Linked DNA regions of Caenorhabditis elegans. The protein of the gene in region 3 purifies or fractionates together with the protein of the main gene of each other region. This does not show direct contact. Each region holds a gene or a part of one and is shown on either strand. Other genes may lie near its edges.

The links.
Region 1: the proteins of set-30 (region 3) and nhr-3 fractionate together in Caenorhabditis elegans (co-fractionation; one large-scale study listed by BioGRID). This does not show direct contact.
Region 2: the proteins of set-30 (region 3) and mif-4 fractionate together in Caenorhabditis elegans (co-fractionation; one large-scale study listed by BioGRID). This does not show direct contact.
Region 4: the proteins of set-30 (region 3) and R05C11.2 fractionate together in Caenorhabditis elegans (co-fractionation; one large-scale study listed by BioGRID). This does not show direct contact.

Annotation. Positions count from the first base shown.
Region 1 is NC_003284.9:14,556,424-14,562,237, reverse strand, and holds nhr-3 (Nuclear hormone receptor family member nhr-3), read right to left. Parts: upstream 3,735-5,814; 5' UTR 3,733-3,734; coding exon 3,575-3,732; intron 3,525-3,574; coding exon 3,385-3,524; intron 3,334-3,384; coding exon 2,924-3,333; intron 2,868-2,923; coding exon 2,736-2,867; intron 2,686-2,735; coding exon 2,498-2,685; intron 1,572-2,497; coding exon 1,310-1,571; intron 1,258-1,309; coding exon 1,156-1,257; 3' UTR 815-1,155; downstream 1-814. UniProt on the Caenorhabditis elegans protein: Orphan nuclear receptor.
Region 2 is NC_003282.8:6,334,730-6,337,598, forward strand, and holds mif-4 (Macrophage migration inhibitory factor), read right to left. Parts: upstream 1,266-2,869; 5' UTR 1,259-1,265; coding exon 1,199-1,258; intron 1,155-1,198; coding exon 1,026-1,154; intron 697-1,025; coding exon 520-696; 3' UTR 501-519; downstream 1-500. Other genes in the region: blos-2 (Biogenesis of lysosome-related organelles complex 1 subunit 2), read left to right, coding at 50-154, 201-238.
Region 3 is NC_003284.9:4,997,351-5,004,272, reverse strand, and holds set-30 (MYND-type domain-containing protein), read right to left. Parts: upstream 5,004-6,922; 5' UTR 4,997-5,003; coding exon 4,845-4,996; intron 4,798-4,844; coding exon 4,725-4,797; intron 4,318-4,724; coding exon 4,104-4,317; intron 4,047-4,103; coding exon 3,859-4,046; intron 3,812-3,858; coding exon 3,708-3,811; intron 3,658-3,707; coding exon 3,534-3,657; intron 3,486-3,533; coding exon 3,384-3,485; intron 1,701-3,383; coding exon 1,629-1,700; intron 1,583-1,628; coding exon 1,344-1,582; intron 1,296-1,343; coding exon 881-1,295; 3' UTR 757-880; downstream 1-756. Other genes in the region: ZC8.6 (Phosphatidylinositol 4-kinase type 2), read left to right, coding at 6,694-6,718.
Region 4 is NC_003282.8:2,056,524-2,061,126, forward strand, and holds R05C11.2 (DUF38 domain-containing protein), read right to left. Parts: upstream 2,589-4,603; coding exon 2,473-2,588; intron 2,425-2,472; coding exon 1,680-2,424; intron 1,634-1,679; coding exon 1,355-1,633; 3' UTR 855-1,354; downstream 1-854. Other genes in the region: R05C11.4 (Protein shisa-9), read left to right, coding at 147-185.

The DNA.
Region 1 (5,814 bases), 9.6 Mb from region 3:
AAACAGTTAGGAGAGGCATCAGTGCAATCTAAAATGGTGATGGCCTGCACACAAACACGCATTCGATCAAGGATCTGTTTGAAACTTGTTATTCGACAGCGTTGTTCAGTTCTTAATGTTCTAGTGATCATTAGTCGCCCTACTTCTCCTGGTTCGCATGTGACTTTATATCCGAATTGTGTACAACTAGTTGGTTGTTGAAAAAAAAACGTCTTGATGCTATTTCTGGAGCAAATTGGGGCGAGCGGCTTGCCCAGGTCCTTGTGATACACCAAATGGTTGTTCTCTTTGATTTTTCTGCTAGCAGTTGGTGTGTTCTGGTCACGCACAAGCGTCGCAGAGCGCGAAAGTAGATTAAAGAACAGAGAGAGAGAAGGAGTAAGAGAATGAAGCGGAGAAATGGGATCGAGTATAGCAAAAAGTAGGGGAGCGGGACTACTCTTTTTGCCTCTTTTCTCCCCCCGAGAAGACCAAAGAGCGACGTTGTGTAAGATTTGTGCAAAGCAGTAGCCGACCACTTGCACTTTTATTCTGTGGCCTCTATGATGGTGGCCTACGTGCACGTCTTCATCTCTTCGTGCTGCAGGCCTCCAGTAGCATAAACGAAACGCAATCTTTGAAGGGAAAAAGGAAATGGAGAGAGAGAGAGAGAAAACGGCATAAACTACCTACTTCCGGTCTAGAAGGGAACTGACGTGCATGATGTTTTAGTACGAAAGTAATAGACATTTAATGTTTGAAAAAATGGTTTTTGATGGTGGTGTATGTCTGATATCAAATTCTATTTTGAACAGTACTGTTAGATTTGATAATATAATTTATATTTATTATTACATATATTTAATAGGTAAACTATACATAATAATGTCATTGAGGTAACAATAGTTTGGCAACTCTGGACAAACACGAGACCGAGTGGGAAGACAGAAGAAATTGAAATTATTGGAGAAAAAAATGAGAGATAAGGAGAAGCTCAGATCAATTAATTAATATAATTAATCAATGTGTAGAAAGTGTGTGTACCCGTCACAATGAAACACTGACAGTATTGAAATGAAGTATGACAACATAATCAAGCTATTCGAGTAATAAGAATTACTGTAGGTAGGCTGGTGTATACAAAAAAGGTGAAGTACATTTAACTTCCGAAACAATTCAAATGCGGTCTAAAAATAAAAGCTCTTCAAGCACATAATCGATTTCATAGTTGACGTCTCTGCTGAGCTGGAAGAACGAGGAGAGCGAGTAGGCGACCCTCTGAAAATAGAAGATGATGAGAAAGCTGATCTTTTGATCTTGATTCTATTACCGTTGCAGAAGCAATTAAAAGAAGGAGGTGTGCAAATCGCGATGTTGCCTCCGCAGTTCCAAATGTTGCAATTAAATGGGAGAACAGAGCATTTTGCACCGATTCTCTTGCAACTACGAGAAGCTCGCAAGATTCGGCGGATAATCCTTTCACGTTGTGATCCAATGCCATAATCGCTTTCAGTGCAACCATTTCAGTCTTTGTTACATTGAGGCGACGGAGCTGTTGGATAATCATTTCAGTCATGTTTCGTCGGACATTGCTGCAAAAACGAAAACAATATTATTGTGTTTTCTTTTAAACACTCATCAACACCATCATCATCATCATCACAGGCAAATAATGCGCTCTCTCATCTTTCCTACTTCCCGTCATATTACATGACTAGCGCAACCAAACCACAAGACACTTTCGCTCAGCCAGTCCAACAATGATCAAAGTTCAAGAGATCAACACCGACCAAATGCAGTCGTCGCAGCGGTGCGCACTTTACTTTTCGCCCGTCACTCTTTAAAAGCCACACTATTTTGCAGTTTCTCGCTTGTCTTTCAAACACCGAGTGGTGTCATTTTCATAGCGGGAAGGGGAGGAACTGGCTGCGTCTCTAGCTTCCCGACTTGTGCTTTCCACTCCGTATGTAAATGTGTATTCTCATCGATCTCACAAACATCAAAGAGCAAATTTTATTTTTGTTGCGGAAGGGAAGGGAAGGGGTAAGGGCGGCGCAAAGAAAGAAAAAAAACTATACGTGTGATCTAAAGGCGGGAAATCAAAAAATAGAGAGCAGAAAACAAGACCTATGTTGTTTCTTCTGCTGCATAATCTGATCACCATGGGTGGCAATATGATCTCAGATTTAGGCATGACATTGATCACCAAGGGACCACTCATGGGGCGAGAGCATTAATGCACTAAAAATCGGCGAGCTTGTGATGGATAGCTTAAAATAACAAGAAAAAAGGTTCTAAGATCAGATCTTCTTTATCCCACCCACACTTTACAGCATTCTATCTTAAGACACACACACACACACTTTTCCATGGAAAGTTGCTGGGGGGTTTCGATCGACAAAAGAACGAAAAGAGCAGACACACTGCAGACACATTGACAAACAATGATCAGTAGCAATGACGAGCGTGACGAGCGATCGCCTATGTGGATGGGTTCAATGATCAACTCTGCACTTACTCGGCTTTGTTTTCCAACAGTATGTACTTCTTTTGGTCCGAGTCTTTTGTAAATAGCAGCTGGCTGGCGGGTAGCTTGTGTCCTGATGGGAGATAAATACTGTCGTGTTCTGGTGCCTCGATCGCTACCGACTGGTAACCACAGAACAAGATACAGAACGGGGAAATGATGCTTCTGGCAATGACCAGCTGAAAAATGGGGAGTAGGGGAAACGAGGTCTAAGATCAAAGTGTTGTACCTTTTCCGATGGATGCAAATCAGCAATTGGACGTAACGTATTGATGTAGTCAAAAGTGAAAACGATCATTCGCCGAAGATTTGATGACACACAATTTGCATCGGCAACTCCTTTTGCGCCGTTGAAGTTTAACTAAACCAAAATGATCAGTTTCATTAAAACTTATTTCACAATAATGTACAACTCACCAGTGTCCTAGCAGCAATAAGGGATGGTTTCGTAATCGCTTCTCCCATTGGTGGAAGGCTTTGTTGATTTGTTTCGAAATTGTCTTGCAGTTGTATCACAATATTCTCAATTTCTGTCAATGTTGTTAATACAGATTCATCAATAAAGCTCGGTCGGAGGTCCATTGGAGCGGAATCAGCTCTTGATGATGGTGAAGTGGCGGCGTCGTCGCTGTCGTCCTTGAATTTATTCAGACATGGAAGGTCGCCTAGAATAGATCCAACAGAGACTTTTTTGATCGAGCCTTCGGTGTTTCTTCTTGGGTTCTTTTGGCGTCCTGTCTTATCGCGATCAGGACGGATTGCATCAGGCTCCATACCGACTTCTAAGCATTTTTGGAATCTGCACGATCTACACACATTTCGTCCAGCTGAAAGCATGATGGGTAAGATCCTTGAACACAAATCACGCAAAAACTCACCTTTATCAATTCGGCACTTTTTACTGTAACGACACACATAGTTTTTTCCAGCTCGTACAGTACGTCTGAAAAATCCTTTGCATCCGAAGCAGGCGACAACACCGTAATGTCTTCCGGATGCCTCATCACAACATACAGAACTGTAAAAAAAAGACAAAAGTAGATTGGGATCATATGATCGTTCACATACCAGATCGTTGATTCTTCGCCATCAATTCCATTCTCTCCGGAAGGAGAATACTCTCCTAATTCCGGTTTTAACAGGGATTCCATTGAAAATGTTTGACCGGGCGAACCGCATTGCAATAGTGCGGCGGCAAATGAAAACGGGGATTGGGTATCAGTCATAGCTGGAATAAAATTAAATGATGGACAGTCAAGATGAAACAAAAATATTATGAGGAAGTCAACGTATCATATTTAGAGAGTGACAAAAAACAAGACACCGGTCAAGTGCAACCTATGAAGGAAATGATTATCAATCTCTTATCAATTGGGTCTTTTGAGGACGGTCGAAAATCAGAATCAAAATCAAAGTCATAGTTATGGGGCGCACTACATAATCAGTGAAACCAGAAAACCGAACTGATTTCACAATTTTGTATGGAATGTATGACTGTGCTGACTGATTGACTACATGACTACGATCAATAAACAGTTGATCTTGGCGCGAAGACGCATAAGACAATTCAGATGACAGGCCATCAAAATCGTACAATGCGAGGAATACAGGGACAGCAGACGATGAGTAAGATCTTTGGTCATTCAAAGATGCGCAACAAATGATAAAAGCAAAACGGGTGAGACTGTACCTAATGGTACGTTGACAAGATCAAGTATGAATGGAAAGTAATAATGAGAGAAAGGGAGCGGGAATCAGCTTCTTATCAGTTCAATGGAACTAAACTGTTAAAATATCTTTTAATAGCTTATCTTACAAGACAAGACAAAAAAACGGATAGGAGTGTACGATATTCGGTGATGTAGTGCATAGGAGGAATGATATGATGAAACGTCTACGTCTATGATGTTTTAAAGCATTGAACTGACTGAATGAGCAAAGGGCGCAAGAGCAAATGGGGTGTGGTTTGTGCGACGGACCCATAGGCGGAGAATATTTTAAGGGGTTAGAAGAGGGGAAAGAGTAGAAGCTTTTTCTCCATCTTCTTCAGAGATAAAAGCGGGGCACGATGGAAGAGAAAGGAGAAGAAGACCAATTGTAAAAAGACTGGGAAAACGAGGAAAGGAGGGAGGTCTCTTCCAAGCGAGCGGTTAATGTTCAGAGATCAATAGAACACAAAGTGGGCGGGGGCAACACACACACACATACACAGTCAGTTGTCTATGTAGCTAGTATATTGCGCAGATTTCGCAATGGTCGGTTAGGGGAGCGAGAGGACTGATCGTTGAAGTGAGCACACCGATCATCGAAATGAACAAACTACTAGAGAATGTTGGAGGCCGGACCCAGCGAATAAAGATGAAACATTATTTCAAGAAAATCGAAAACCCGCACCGCCCCAATCTTTGATCACCGTCGGTTCGATTCCAGTTTCTAAAGTATCAGAGGTCGCTTTTAATTGATAGACGGCGCCTCCCGAAAAACTTGATTGTGCCGATCCTGGCGAACCAACAACATAATACCCATAGCGTCGTTTTGCAGTTTTTGCTTGCTGAAAGAACTTGTGAGAACAACATGGATCATAGAACAACAAACGTGATTTTGAAATAGTTAACTTGAGAAACAAAAACTTTAAACTCTGCGTTGTTGTTGAGCTAAAAATAAAAAAGGTCAACGTGGTGTTTTTCAAGTTTGTTTTCCAACTTTAACATAAAAGTTCAAGCCTACGGTACAGTAAGACTTTGCAATTTCCTAAAAAGAATAAAAGTAATAAATTATAACTACAAGCCATAGTAGATTGCCGGCTCTGGGAAAGGTAAACCCAAATCATTATCCAAGTAATAAAAACTTTGGATTTATGTCTTGTATTCGAAAAATTAAAGTTCAACTAGGCAATTCACGTATAAAGAAAAAAAAAGAAGAGAAACCGCACCTATCGACAGTGCCCTCAGAGACCAAAAATGATCAAAAACTGTTTCAAATCGACTTTTAAAAACGTGTTCTGTGTGATTTGCGCCACCGATATATGATCAGTATTTGATCAGACCAATTCGGAAATAATGAACAAAAACCGCTGTGTTGTGTGTGTGTATGACTCTGATCATGTTTATTCCGTTTCACAAAAAAAAGTTTTTTTGAGTGACGAATTGAACAAATAATCACCTCGGGACTTTCAATGAAAGACCTCCAAATAGTGGCAAACTGTGATAAGAATGCGTGGGAAGTTCGTTGAAGTCAGCTGTCACTGAATATGACGTTGAAGCAACAGGAGATTATCAAAGTTTAGAAATAGTTTGATCAAGTAATCA
Region 2 (2,869 bases), on a different chromosome or scaffold from region 3:
TATGCCTTTATTATTTATTTCGGAAAATTTATGAAAGATTATTTTCCAGACGAGAATCTGCGTCCATATCTTTCCCAAATTGATGCTATGGATGAGAGCACCCGGAGATTGGAGGAAGCTACCGCTGTTCTTGAAAATTATGTTACCCAACTCGGTAGGTTAAGCCTTTCAAGAAAAAATTCAAAGATTTTTAATTTCAGAATCCAAGCTCACCAACATCCAACAGCAAAGCCAATAAGCCAGCTCAATCTCAAACTATTTCCAGCTTTTCTGTAACTAAATTAATGTGTGATTTCTTATTCACATTCCGTTCAATAATTTATGTAACTCTAGTCATTATATTCAGCATAACTTATTTTTACATTTTCTTGTCAAAGTTTCTATTTCTCATTAATGCTAATTTTGCTCCCTCCCTTTTGCTATAAAATAACTTATGAATTATGCTTTGTCTTGTTTTTTTCGATGTTTTCAGATGTTTACTTCATTGTTAAATCCATGCGTTTCAACTTTTTTACAAATTTATTCATACAAAGAAGCAATTGTCTTCCCTTGAGTTGCAAAACTTTTTGCATCTTTAAAATCAAATGATATGAAAATATGGGCGGGATCAAGCTTCAACTGCTCATTGAGCACTGATGTCAATTTTTTTGCATATGAGTCATTTTCGATTCGAGAAGAAGGCCGGGTTGTTTGGAACTGAAAATTGTTATTCTTAATTTTCAACGAGTTGACATTTTCAAAAAAAAAAAACACGGTCTCTGGTCCCGGCACGTCCAAAACTTGTCAGCTACCGTACCCCGGTATTCTATCACTTTTTAGTTAAAAATATTTTTCTCATAAAATTAACTTATATTTTATGAATCTAGTTAGTTTTTCTATTTTTCACACATTTCTTCTCGATTAAAAAAATTTTAATTATAAAAAAGTTTTCAGATTTTGAAAAATACACAGGTTACTGTAGCTGAAAAATTTTACACGTGACAAGACCCAAGCCTAATATTTTTTCAAAATAAAAAAAAACGCACATTTACAATTGCAACTGGAATTTCTTTATTCTCAAATCCAATTCTCATTCTAACTGCCGGCTCAACAATAATCACGAATTTATCAGCTGGTAATTCCATTACAACTGATAAATTGTAGATCACATCTTGCTGAAAATATTAGAAATTAGAAATTTCGTTTTATGCAAACTTACTTCAAACTTTTCTGGAATATCAGCACTTCGGATGTTGGTTTGAATTCGAACAACTTGCATTTTAATTCTAAAATTTTGAAATTCGGCTTGAAAATATTTTAAAAAAAAGAGAAATTGTCGTTTCGCAACATAAAAACCAACGGGAAAAAATGCTCAGCCAGCTGAGAAAACATGTCGCTCGAAGAAAAGAGCGTGCACTCGACAATAAATACACAACTCCATTTGTCAATGTTATGTGCGCAGGATGGACAGAAATGGGATGACATGGAAACAATTAGTACGGGGAAATGGAAATAAGTTTGACCTTGAATTTTGGGTTGGGCACACGGTTTTTTTGGTGAAAATCGGAAGTAGGTTAGGGAGACACAGATCAGAATGTGTTGCAACAACTAGAAGCAAGAATCACAGTTTTGAATCAATATTATTTATATTATCGTAATTTCATTAGGGTCTCGCCACGATCTCAGTTATGTAGTTGATATTATTCAGATGCAGATTTTCGCGATTTTTGCTATAATAATACGGTACCAGGTCTCGGTACGACAATTTTTCTTAGACACAACCATGTCAGCGCTTTGAACAGTACTGTAGTTTCAAACTATCTTTGTTAACGAGAAGTATTTCCTGAAATTCGTACACCATATTTTTATTGCTGCGCTCCATTTTTCATGACTCATAAAGCTGGAATAGGTTCAAAAACTTTTGTTTAGTTATTCTAGATTACTGTAGACTAAATCAGCTGGCTGCTCATCTCGAAATTTCCAACTCTTTTTTTCCACTCGGCTCAATTCCGTTCGCGATTCGTGACTCAACATTTCGAACTTTCTCTGTCTCATTAAAGTACCTGTCACGTGGGGACTCCCCTCTGTGACGTCACATATCACGTTGTCGTGTGATTTGTCTTCAACATTCTTCTCCTCCCAGACAAGACCACGTGCTTTTCGGTTTAGTGCAGTCTGTCCTTTCCATTTCAATTGTATATATGCATGATGACAGAGAGGTGCAAGAGACTCAGAAATAGAAAGACAATGCGAGAGACAACATAAGACGTGGATACGCAGACGGAGAAACAATGTGGGTAGTGCAAGCTGTGGACTACTGAGTGTTGAAACGAGTGGCGTGATCCTCCCGACCCTGTTCTCTGATGGCCTGAAATAGTGGGCTTTGTCAAGAGATTACAGAGAGACACGGAAAAGTGAGAAACTTTCTTCCGTTCTTTTGAGTTATCACGTAGTTTTCCAAACTGACAAGGTTTCTAAAACTGTTCACTCTTCACTTTTTTTCTGAGATTTGAATTTTTTCAATGAATTTTCCCGTGAATTCTTTGAAATTAACCGTATACAATTCCCACGTCTCATTTTTTAAATTTCTTTTTTATTTAATTATTGTTCAAAAGCGAAATTTTGTTGTTTTTTGCGCCAGAAATACGGCACACGGTCTCGACACGACAAGCATAGGAAATGTGAAAAGACGTGTGCCTTTAAAGATTACTGTAGCATCGATTTGTTGGAATTCATGCGTTTTATTGTTATATTTGAGTTGTTTTAAACATAAATAAAAGTGTTTTTTGTCTAAAAAACTATGAAATTCTATAAAAATTCCGCAACAACCGAGACCTTGTCGCATTTAACTAAAATTGTTCGTGGCGAGACCGGCTACCGTATATCTGGC
Region 3 (6,922 bases):
TCTCCTTTGCTTGTTCGTTTGCGACCCTAAAGGAGCCGCCCAACTGCTCTGGGCCCGCAACAGTATGATTGCAAAATTTTGAAAATATAAGCGGTCCCAATTATTTTTGTTTTTTTTTTTAATTTCAAAACTAAAATCGAATTTTAAAAAATTTCAGATCTGTTATAGAACCTATAATTAATACTCAAGTCAGGCAAACAAAACTCCCGCCGAAAAAAAAACATTTGTATACAATCTTCCCGAAAAAAGACGGACTCCTGCTAAAAATCACACTCCTGCTAAAAGTTAGGGAAACTACTCCTGCCCAGTTTAAAACGAAAAAAAAACAATTCCTGCCAAAACTTGGACGAATCTTGAAAAAAATCAAACTCTTGCTCAATCCTGGATAAATCCTGATTAAACTTGAACGACTCTTGCCGTAAATTAAAAAAAGGCAGCTAGTTTGCAACTTTTTGGTTATCAATAACTATAATGTTTTTCTCGAATTCAAGAATTGATTCACGTATTTTCCATTTTCAAAAGAAAATTAAAACAAGCACATTTTGAAAGAGAACAAAACATTGTGGTTTCTGATCGAGCAACAAAAGGCCAGACGTACAGTCATTCGCAGTCTGCAAGTTTTTACACCGCTTTAGTTTGGTTCGATGAGAGAACTTATTGTCAGGGGTCCAAGGGGTCCTATAATTATTAGTAAGTGTATTTACTTTTTGAAAACCTGACATTTTTTTGGAACTGGCGCGTTTTGGATGCAACAAATGGGATTGAAAACATTTATGTTCAAATAGTCTATTGCAAAAAAAACTGAAAAAACGTATTAATTGGATAAATTAATTATTATAGCGGAAAGTGTAAACAATTACAACAAACTACAACATAATAACTACATTTCAGCAACAAGTTCTGGCAAATCTTCCAATCCGTCTTCAACTCCCTTTGTCTTTGAATTTCCATTTTCACCGCTACTTTTTTGCTCATTTTTCTGCTCAATTTTCTTGTTTTTCTTATTATTTCTTTTCCTCTTATTCTTTTCCGAATCTTTCAGCGCTTTTTTCTCATCGGCCGTCATGAAGCGCTCTTCCAATGCCTGTTTGGCTTCCGGTACTCGGTCCAAAACATTGACAAAGTTTCTCTGGAATTGCATTAGAGACGACAAAGCGTGATCCATAAATCCCTTGGTCTGCTTTGACAGGAAATGATCCGCTCCGAAAAGATAATCCATGATGCGATGAGCTTCAATCAAACATCTTGCCGCATCTTTGTCATTGGCGAGCTCCAAGTGAAGCTGACCCATTTGCCTGAACCCGCCAATATTTAATAAAGTTATGAGAGTGTTTAAAACTTACAAAAAGTGCATTGCTTTTGAAGGATGAGCATGACGATAGACATATCTCACAAATGTTTCACATTTCAGATGAAGATCCAAAGAAGCCACCAATCGCTCTTTTTTCGTCATGCTTACTCTTGAGATTAGAGGGATCATTGCAGCAATAAGCTGACAGAAATAGGCATTTGACATTGGCAAAATACGCTCATAGGTCATCAGTGCTCCTTGGTAGATTTTAAGAAGCTCGATGGGATCTTTCTGTAAACATATCATATGTCATCTTGTCGATACGGGAAAAAATTACCGTTTCATCTTCAGCTCCTTCTACAGTTCGACGGATAGTTCTCATGCCATCAAGAGCCATGAAGATGTATTCCTAAAAAAAAAAACTTAAAAAAAACATCAAAGGGATAAACTGATGTTAAATTATTTTTTTATTACAACATTGGGGTTCAAAACTGGAACAATTGGCTAAATTATTCAAAAAGTCAAAAAGTTTTAATTTGGCCCTTGGCCAAAACTTTAACTAAAAATTGTGGTTTTGTTGAGTCATGAATAAATTTAGAAAAATAACCAATGATCATACACCACCGTTAAAAATTAAAAAGATATGTCTAATCATTTTTTTTGGTTTTTCGACAACTTCCATATGAAAAAATTAAAAGCTACCGTATTTTTCTTATTAGCCCCGCACTACCACTGTTGTACTTTGACAGCTTACTCGGCATTCAGAGGCAACTTCCTGCAACACTTTGGCAACTTCCTGCCAACAACCTGGCAACTTATTTAGTGCCACTAAAATAAGTTGCCAAATTGTTGGCAGGAAGTTGCCACGAAGTTGGCAGGAAGTTGCCCAGGTGTTGTCAGTAAAAATTCTTTTTTCGTTTTTTTTCAACTGATTATGGTTATTTTTGTATTAAGGGGATCAATAAAATGAATTTAGCATACATACGATTCAACCAGAACAAGGTAAAATTAGAAAAAAAAACGTTACTTTTTGAATTAGTCCAATCGGCTGGATATCAACTTGCACTGTCATGTTTCCCTTTTTCTGCCCTACCAGATCCCGGACCTTCTCCTTGTGACTGTCAGCCCAATTCCTTAACCTCTAAGCTATGCCCGCGCGCAAGATAAAGTAGAATAGAGTTGTTCAAATATGAAATCCAATGGAAAATTGTAAAAAAATGTTGAAGAAAATAGTTTCAAGGAGGTAAACACAGATAAGTAGCTCTGAAATGCCCAACATGTAATTCTAGAACATGGTGATGTAAAGGACTATTGTAAGCAAGTTGATGTAACTGTTCTCAAAGAATAAACAATTTCGCATAGCTCGTTCTATCATGTCGGGTTTTCTTAACAGCATGTTTTACAACATTAATTCAGAAGCCGCGACGACATGAAGTTATCCTACTTCGTTTTTCGTGTAGTATGCGTTCTTATTCCCACTTTGCTTTCATTTTATGATAATCTACTAATTTTTCTATCACTGTTAGTTTTTTAAAATTCGAAATTCGATAGTTCCACCGCAAAGTTTGAATTAATTCAATTTTGAAGTTCGGCTGAAAAGCACCGATGCTCCGAAATTACGCCAGTGCGTCACGTTTACCGTAAATGTTGCCAAAAAGTTTGGCAGGCTGTTGGCAAGCTGATGCCGAAGTTTGGCAGACTGTTGGCAGACTGTTGCCAAAGCCATGCATGCTACATGCTGGCAGGATGTTGCCAAAATTTGGCAGGAAGTTGGCAAAATATGGCAGGAAGTTGGAAACAAGCAAAACTTGGCAGGAAGTTGCCATAATTTGGCAGGAAGTTGCCTCCAAATGCCGAGTATATCTTGTGTTTTTTTCAATTTTATAAAAAAGTTGTGAAGAGGAAAATACGTGCAAAATATTATTCTACAGGTGGACTGAGAAACATTTTGCGAAAAATTTTGAGTAAGGCGAAATATAAGGCGCCAGAAATGAGCAATGACGTGTTTAACAGGGATAATACGGTTGATACAATTTTCGTTATCAAATTTTTTACTACAATTCTACACAATTTTTTTGTGAAAAATCCTTACCCTATCCAACGTGGTACTGCATCTATCACATACAATCTCCAATGTTTCAGGATTCGCATATGCCTCCGGACCATGTAGTTTAATTGTTTTTCGATATTCTGTCTGAAAAATGAATAAGTTAGTTATATATATTTTTAATACAAAGTATACCTTTGAAATGCAAACTGGGCAAAGAACTGATGTTAGCCAGTTGTCATCTGGATCGTCACATCTTTCACAGTGACATTCGAAATACCATGTTTCTTTAAGCATATGACGACGCTGGATTTTACAGCTGGAAATTAAAGTTACAGTTTAAAAAAATTATACTCTCAAAATACTAACGGTGGTAATTCAATGTAGGTGTAATGTGTAGTTTCGACATTTTCTAAATCAACATTATCATGAAGAGCTCGCAACTTTGCCACGATCCCGTTACAACTGTAGATCTAAAATTAAAACATTCATTTAAGAAAAACATCTAAAAAAAATTTACCGCATTAGGTCTGCAAGAGTGATCGTATTTACAAAGATCCAAATAAAGACCTTTTCCAATTTCTCGTAAATAATCCACATTCGATATGCTATGTCGATTGATGAAGTTTCTGGAGTGAAGCTGGAACGTTACTTCTTCATCCATTAAATGATTAGTGTCGCCGAATTGTTTCACTCTATCGTAGGTTTCTGAATTTAGAAGTGTTTTCTTTTATTTTTAATAATTCAAAAACTCGAAAACCCTACTTTTAAAAGATTTCATAGCATTTTCATCTTTTTTCATATCCGCACAGTGCTCCCAAATTTCCATGACGCTTCTCTTGCTCTCTCGGTTGTTGTAAAATCCATCGATGCTTTTGTCTTTTCCAGAATGAATATCCTTATACCGTCCAACAATTCTAATAAGCATTCTTTCATCAGTGTTCAAATCCGGGCATTTTTTCAAAGGTCCACACTCGTACTAAAAAAAAGTGAATATCATGTCGTAAGTATTTTATTGCCTATTGGAATTATTTTCAAGAGAAAAATGTGTGTAAATTATATCTAAATAGTGTCAATTGCAAAATTAAGGGGTTATAAAAAACAAGTCTTGAAATCCTTTTACTGTTGTAAAACTATAACATACATACTATATATAAAAAAAAGTAAAAACAAAAAATTTCAGTAGAAATTGGGTACTCGTGACCTTTTTCTGTCCATATCTGGATTAGTGTTTTTTCAAGCCTAAACATACAAACAAACTTCATTCACGTTTTCATTGAATTATCATTTATAGAAGAAATGAATGAATGAAAAACGTATTAGTAAAATTTTTGGGGCAGGTATTTTGCACAAGTACTAAAAATTGAATGTGTTAAGTTTAGGTACCTTGTGGTCAATTGCTCCTGATGTTTCACATTGCTTCGAGCAAAATTTTGCAACTTTACATTGTTCGCATGTTCTGAAAACAACGTATGTCATAAGACTCTTTTTTTCAGTCAAACTTACAATTCAACGTTCTCTCCAAGACATGTCCAGCAGTAATCGTCTTTGGTACAGTCTAAAAGAGAGTAAGCAAACGGATAGAATTCTTTGCTTCTAGGTTTGGACCCAATTTTCTCCACCCCTACCACTTCTAACGGAGCATCTCCAGACGACATACGGTGGCTGAAAGGTTGCTATTTTTATGCAAAATCTTTGAAAAATCAGTAATAAAATGCAACGGGGGGGGGGGGAGGCACAGAGGATTTTGAGGATATGCTAGGTCTCGGGAGTGTTTGTGTAGGAAAGGGGAGAAAAACCGAGACGGCAAAGAGAAGTGACTACAAATGAGAGCAAGGGAAGAAGGGCTCCTCCGGTGTGTGTATTTGCCCTTCCAACAGTGTAATGCTTGGGCGAATGGCGTACGATCGGATGGGGCTGCTGCTGCTGGAGGAAAGGCATCGACAGAGAGGGGATTTATTCTCACCAGATCATAAGACGATTGCGAAACAAGACAAAAACCGAATCGTGAAGCAAAAGGTACGGGAGTGTGACAGTAGAGGGCCAAATGAGGCGCTGCTGTACAAGGCACACACAGAGAAAAAACCAAGAGAGAGAGAGAGAGTACGCAAACATACTTGATGATTCATTTTTTATGAAAATGTGAAACATTACATTTCTGAAACTTAGAAGGTTTTTTTAAAAGAATGTCAATCTAACATTAGTAGTTAATCCTCTTTGCCAGAAATGGTTAATTTTTAAATTTGGGCCCAGTTTTCAAGGAAAAACTGTAATGCGGGAGTCTTAGTTCAAGCCAAAAAGTGGTGAAAACTGAGTTTGCTCCACTTGTCGAGAAAACTAAAGCACTGTTTGCATATTCAAACCACTGCATATTATATATTTCACCTTTTTTTACTCGAAATAAAAAAATTTTTCAAATGTTTTTGAGAAGTTATACTATGGTATACGGTTACTTTAGCATTATATAAATGGTTTTTAGTCACATCCCTTCTCTCCGCACTCCACCTTCACGAAAAAAACACAGAAATTGGCGAACTACCGAGAACATGGATTTTTGGGAACTCTTTGAAGCAAGAGCTTTTTTTTGTTGCAAAATTTGCATTTTTCAATTCCTAAAATGCTCAAAATTTCAACGTTGATTTTTTAAATTAAAAACATATAGGTTTCTAAAAAAAAGTTTTGATTATTTACATTTCTGAAGATTTTTGTCGAATCGCTTGAAAAATTTGTTCCAGACGTTTTCAGTGCGTAGAATTTTCTAGCAAACAAGTAGAAAAAGGTGTACATTTCAAATTTAAATAATTGCTGAAACAAGGTCTGATGATCTTTTCTCAATGCTTCTGCATGGCAAATGTATATTTGTATTTCCAGTTTATCTTTTGTTTATTTCAAAATCAACTTTCGGATTTTTAAACAGTCCTTCAGAGCATGTTATCGATTTTTTCAATCTTGCCGACAGTTCAATTGCCTATGCAGGTGGTCTGACTAGCGACTAGCTCAACACGCACACTCACACACTCACCGGCCATTGAACAAGGAGATCAGCAAGTACGCTCCACCGACAATTTCTTCTCAGATGCGTGTTTAATGAATGCAGCTATTTTTTCAAATCCAGTTCCTGCTTATTTATCACGTTATATGTTTTGTTATTGAGAAGTGTTTTGTTGCTCATTTTATTTTCATGGTTTTCAGTCATTTTTTGTTTAATATTCCAACAATCAGTGTGTTATTTTAATGAAATGGGTTTTAAAATTAGAAAATTAAATTATTAATTTGTTTTCTCGAGCGTTTCCCGTTTTTCTGCCAGATTCCTGTCTAAAATCATTCAGTTTCTAGCAAAATTGAGCTCTACGCCATGAACAGTGGACATCCCGACTCTGGTAAGTGTTTTTTAAGGAAAATTGTGGAAAAATATGGGAAAAATTCAGTTAACAAATCCGGGGATGAAAAAATATCAGCAATATTTTTTTGTGAAATTGTATTGTTACAATTTGGCACACAAAATCAATTTTTTGTGGAGACGGCATTTTTTAAATAAAAAATAATAAGGTATTTGTGTTGAAACAGATTGAATGTTAAGAAAT
Region 4 (4,603 bases), on a different chromosome or scaffold from region 3:
TTGAATTTTATAATTTTGTCGGTTTTTTCAAAAATTTCGAGTATATAGTTTTTGGCGCCGAAAATTCAAAAATTTTCCATTTGGCGGTAAAAATTTCAAATTTCGCACGGAAATAGTTACAAATAAAAAAAAATCAATATTTTCAGGTAAACGGATCCCGTAGGACACCTCCTCAAATCTCCTAATCTTCCTTTTTTTTTCTAAAAAATTATAAAAAAAATCCTCTCTTCAAATTTAACGGGTCTTGACACGAAGTACTCTCACATTTTAGCATGTTTTTTTTAATGTAAGATATTGAATTCCCCGCCCCCCGGATCATTTGCTCAATTTCTTCTATGAATTTATTGATTTTTTTTCAATCACCCGGCTTCTTCAATTTTTCTGTATTTTTGTGATTTTTTTCGAATTTTTTGGTTAAAAATTCATCATTATTCGGTGCTTTTTCTCATGTGCTTCTTTCAAAATTCTTCCATGTTTGTTGGAATATATGGAATTTTTATGTAAAAATCTTCGATCTCTGCGCTTTTTGCTTCAATAAAAAAATTTAATACCGCGGAAACATTCGTTTGAAGAAAATTTCTTAATTAAGAAAAAGTTCAATTATCACCTTTTCCAGCAAGTTTCCAGCTTGAAATTTTTTATTTATTTAATTATTCAATCATTTCTCATAGTGAGACTTATTATTGATTTATGCTTTCATTTTGTCAAAGTGCGTCCATTTTGTATATATATATATTTTTTTTTTTTTTATGTTGCACAATATTTTCAGGTTAAACAAATATTTAGATACATTTAACTTTACCGTAAAATATGAAAAGGTGCACAGTAAATTGAGAATAATTAAGAAATAAATGTTTAAATTTATTATAAGTGAATTTATTTATTTATAAAAATAGTACGTGAAATATCTATATCCACGCCATTAAAAATTATATTTAAACGTACAAAAGATTCATGCACATGAAAGTATTGTTTAAATTAGGGTTCCCAGCTGAGTGAGGCGCAAAATGCGGGCCTCACGCCGGCCTCACGCCGGCCGGCCTTCGCCTTCGCCGTTCGCCGCTTTCAATAATAATGACGTGAATTTTAAATTTTAATTTTCAAAAATTCGTTGAAAATTTAGAAAAAAAATATAAGAAATGAAAATAAAAGTTTATGTGTAATTCAGTGAAAGGCGAGAGTGACGCCGTGAGGCCGGCGCGGCGACCGCTGAGGCGGGCGAAGGCGCCTTTGCGGCGACCTCATGGGAGCCCTAGTTTAAATCAGGTGAAAAATTAATATTTGAAAAAAAAATCATTAGGGACAACTTTTCGTCCCGTTGGCGAGGAACAGGGAAGTGACCTTTACAACAGCTCTAGCACCTAGCCGGACTAGATTCCCTCGGAATAGCCGGACTAGATTCCCTCGGAATACGATTAAACATGAATTTTTTAAGATTTTGATAATATCGAATTTGTAGATCATCTGTGTCGTTCATGCAATTGAAAAACCAAATGCTAGGTTGATTATTTGTAGAATCGGTAACTATGCGAAACGGAATTCCCAAAAATCCTTCTTGAAATATAGAATTATTTACGTCACTGTTCACAAATGTGACCTTGAACTGGAGAAAGTCCGGTGAAACTAGGAACATCTGAAATTATTTTTTTTTAAAAATTACATGAGATATTCGAACTCACATCTCTCAAATATATAACATTTTTCAATGATAACGAATCCAAAATTATGTCAACTTTTCTGAAGTGAACAAGATTTTCAACATCACACTTGATAACACGCTTAATAATTGTCAACTCTTTCGCATTCCTCCATTGTTCCATGACCAAAAACTCTTCAATGCTCCATACATCACTTGCAGGTACGTCGAAAGATGTTCCAAACTCAATTTTGTTCAGCTTAGAGGGATCCACGGATTGGAGCAGTTGCACTATGGTTTTTTGGTTTCTTGTTGTGACAACCAACTTTTCCACTGGCAGCAATCGACCCAGCGAGGCGTGCAAATCTTTGAACGATTTCAAAAATCGATTCTCATTCTGGTCCCAGATTGAATGACTTTCTGTTTCCTGGGGATTCCCCTCAATTTCATCCATGTATTTTTTTTCTTCTTCCGTAACATCCTTGAAACTTGACTCGCTGGTTTCATCAACTTGCATAAAATTCATTTTAAGTTCTTCCAAAGCAGATTTTTGATTTTTCAAAATAAGGAACAAGTCGTTTGAAAAGTTGCCGTAATCCAACTCGCTAGATTTTCTGGATAATCTTGAAGCCTTATATGAAACTTTTCGGTTTGTGGATTCGGTAAACATCTCAAGAAGTGCGCACCCAATGCTTTGAACATGAATGCCGATTTTGAGTAATTTATGGTCTGGTTTGATAAGGTCGATGCACTGACGGCTTCCATAAGAAATTTTACGGAGCACTTGTCTGAAAAAATAAAATTCAAGCTAAAAAAAATCAAAAGACTTTACATACATATCAAAAAAATCGAGACGTTCAACAACGCTGTTCATAATCACAGTGTTGTAGAACCACAAAGTGCTTGATATCGATGAGCCAGAAACTTCAGACAAAAGCTTCGTTTCATCCATTGTCAGCTGCTCTAGCTGGTTCTGAATAGTTGCATTGTTAACAATAATTTCGTTTCGTGCAAGTATTACACTGTAGGAGAAATAAAATATGCCTGTTCTGTGCTAACTCTAGCTTTTTCTCGTGTCGGGCCATAAATTGAGCAAGATTTTGGCAAAACTTGGTTTAGGTTGCTCTTGATCTGCCACTCTTATCTAATTAGGAAATAATGTTAATTGGACATTAAAAAAGACAGAAGTGAAATGGAAGATCAGATTTTTGGCTACATGAGTTTTTTTGGGGTTACCTGGAACTTAGCAGAATAAAAAAGAATTTAAAAATGATTGCAATGTTCCTATTCGTGTATTTTTTTTTTTCGAAAGTTTTCGAAATTTTTTGTGATGTCTCATTATGAAATTCGGTGGTTTTGGACCAGTTTTAGTCTATTTAAGCAAAATATCCACAAACTCTACTCCCCCTTTAAGTTGATTCACAATTTGGAGAAAAATGCAAATTTAACGAAAATCTGAACTTTTGCCATGATGTCAATGTTATGCCGCAGTGACCGAAAGTTGAAATAATTTAATTCGCACTCTAGTTTGCATGTGGTAATTGGTACATTCAATTTCTAAGTCACAACATCTTGACAGTTTTTCCACACAGCAGGACACACGAATTCTTTTTCAGCATCAGATTTTGTCAGCTCCAAAACTGTTGTACAGGCTCACCTGCTAAAGGTCACTCTCTCGCAAAATATGTAGGAGGCAGTTATATTGCCTGTGTATCTCTACAAACTCAACTCTCTCTATACGCTCACAGGCCACTCCCGTTGTGGGGGAAAAACGGTCAAGATGTTGTGACGTAGAAATTGTAGGTACCAACTATGCTCACTTACCAATTATCAACATGCATAGTCGGTACCTTTTCACTAGTCAAGAACATTGATCACATAGAGTCTACAAATTTTCTGACCGAATATATGTTAATTGGAAATAAAAGAAAAGAGCCAAACTTTCGACGCTTTCACTAATTAAATAATTTTTCTGGGCTTCTTTCCGTTAGTTTTTCGTTGTTCTTTTTGTTGCATAGATTGCATAGCAAAAATAATTTATTCATAGGAAAATTGACAACTGACAAAATTGCCGAAAAAAAATCTAAATAACCCCTATGCAAATTTAGCTATTTACCTGTTAAGTTTTCCAGGTTTTCATAAATTCCCCAAATCCAAGTACTGCTCTAAAACAAATAATCTAAAAATTGTCCAGCTTGAAAAACAAATACCCATCTTCCCAACGTCTTCCAGGAAATTCTAACCGCAATAATATTTTCCTGCATTGCATCCAGATGTTAGTTATTGGAAATATATGAACATGCGAAACGGAAACCAATATTTTCTTGGAACATCTTAAAATGAATGAGATTAGTTTTTCTTTGTATAGAGCTTCTTTACACCTATTACCCTACTCATATGAGTTGATTAAATGTATGGGTACTGTAAGGGTACGGTAGTTAAACTCAAAACTGAACTGTTATTATAATTCTTGCCTACTAATATTTACTGTTGAATTTAGTCATTACGGCCCATTTTCTATTATTTAAAGCAAAAAAATTGACTCTACTCCAGTGGTGGGCGGCAAACGATTTTTTCCGGCTAATCAGCAAATTACCAGAATTGAAATTATAGGCAAATCGGCCAACCAGAAAATTGCCGATTTGCCGGAAAAAACACTTCCGGCAAATTGATATCCGACAAATCGGCAAACCGGCAAATTACCGGAATTCAAAATTCCCGGCAAATCTGCAAACCGGCAAATTGGCACAATTGAAAATTCCCGGCAAACCGGCAAATTGGCCGAATTGAAAATTCCCGGCAAATTCTCTAACCGGAAAATTTCAGGCAAGTCGATTAACCGGCAAAGTGCCGGAGTTAAAAATTTCCGGCAAATCAGCTAACCGGAAAATTTCCGGCAAAGTACCGGAGTTAAAAATTTCCGGCAAATCGGCGGAATTGAAAATTCCCGGCAAATCGGCAAATTAG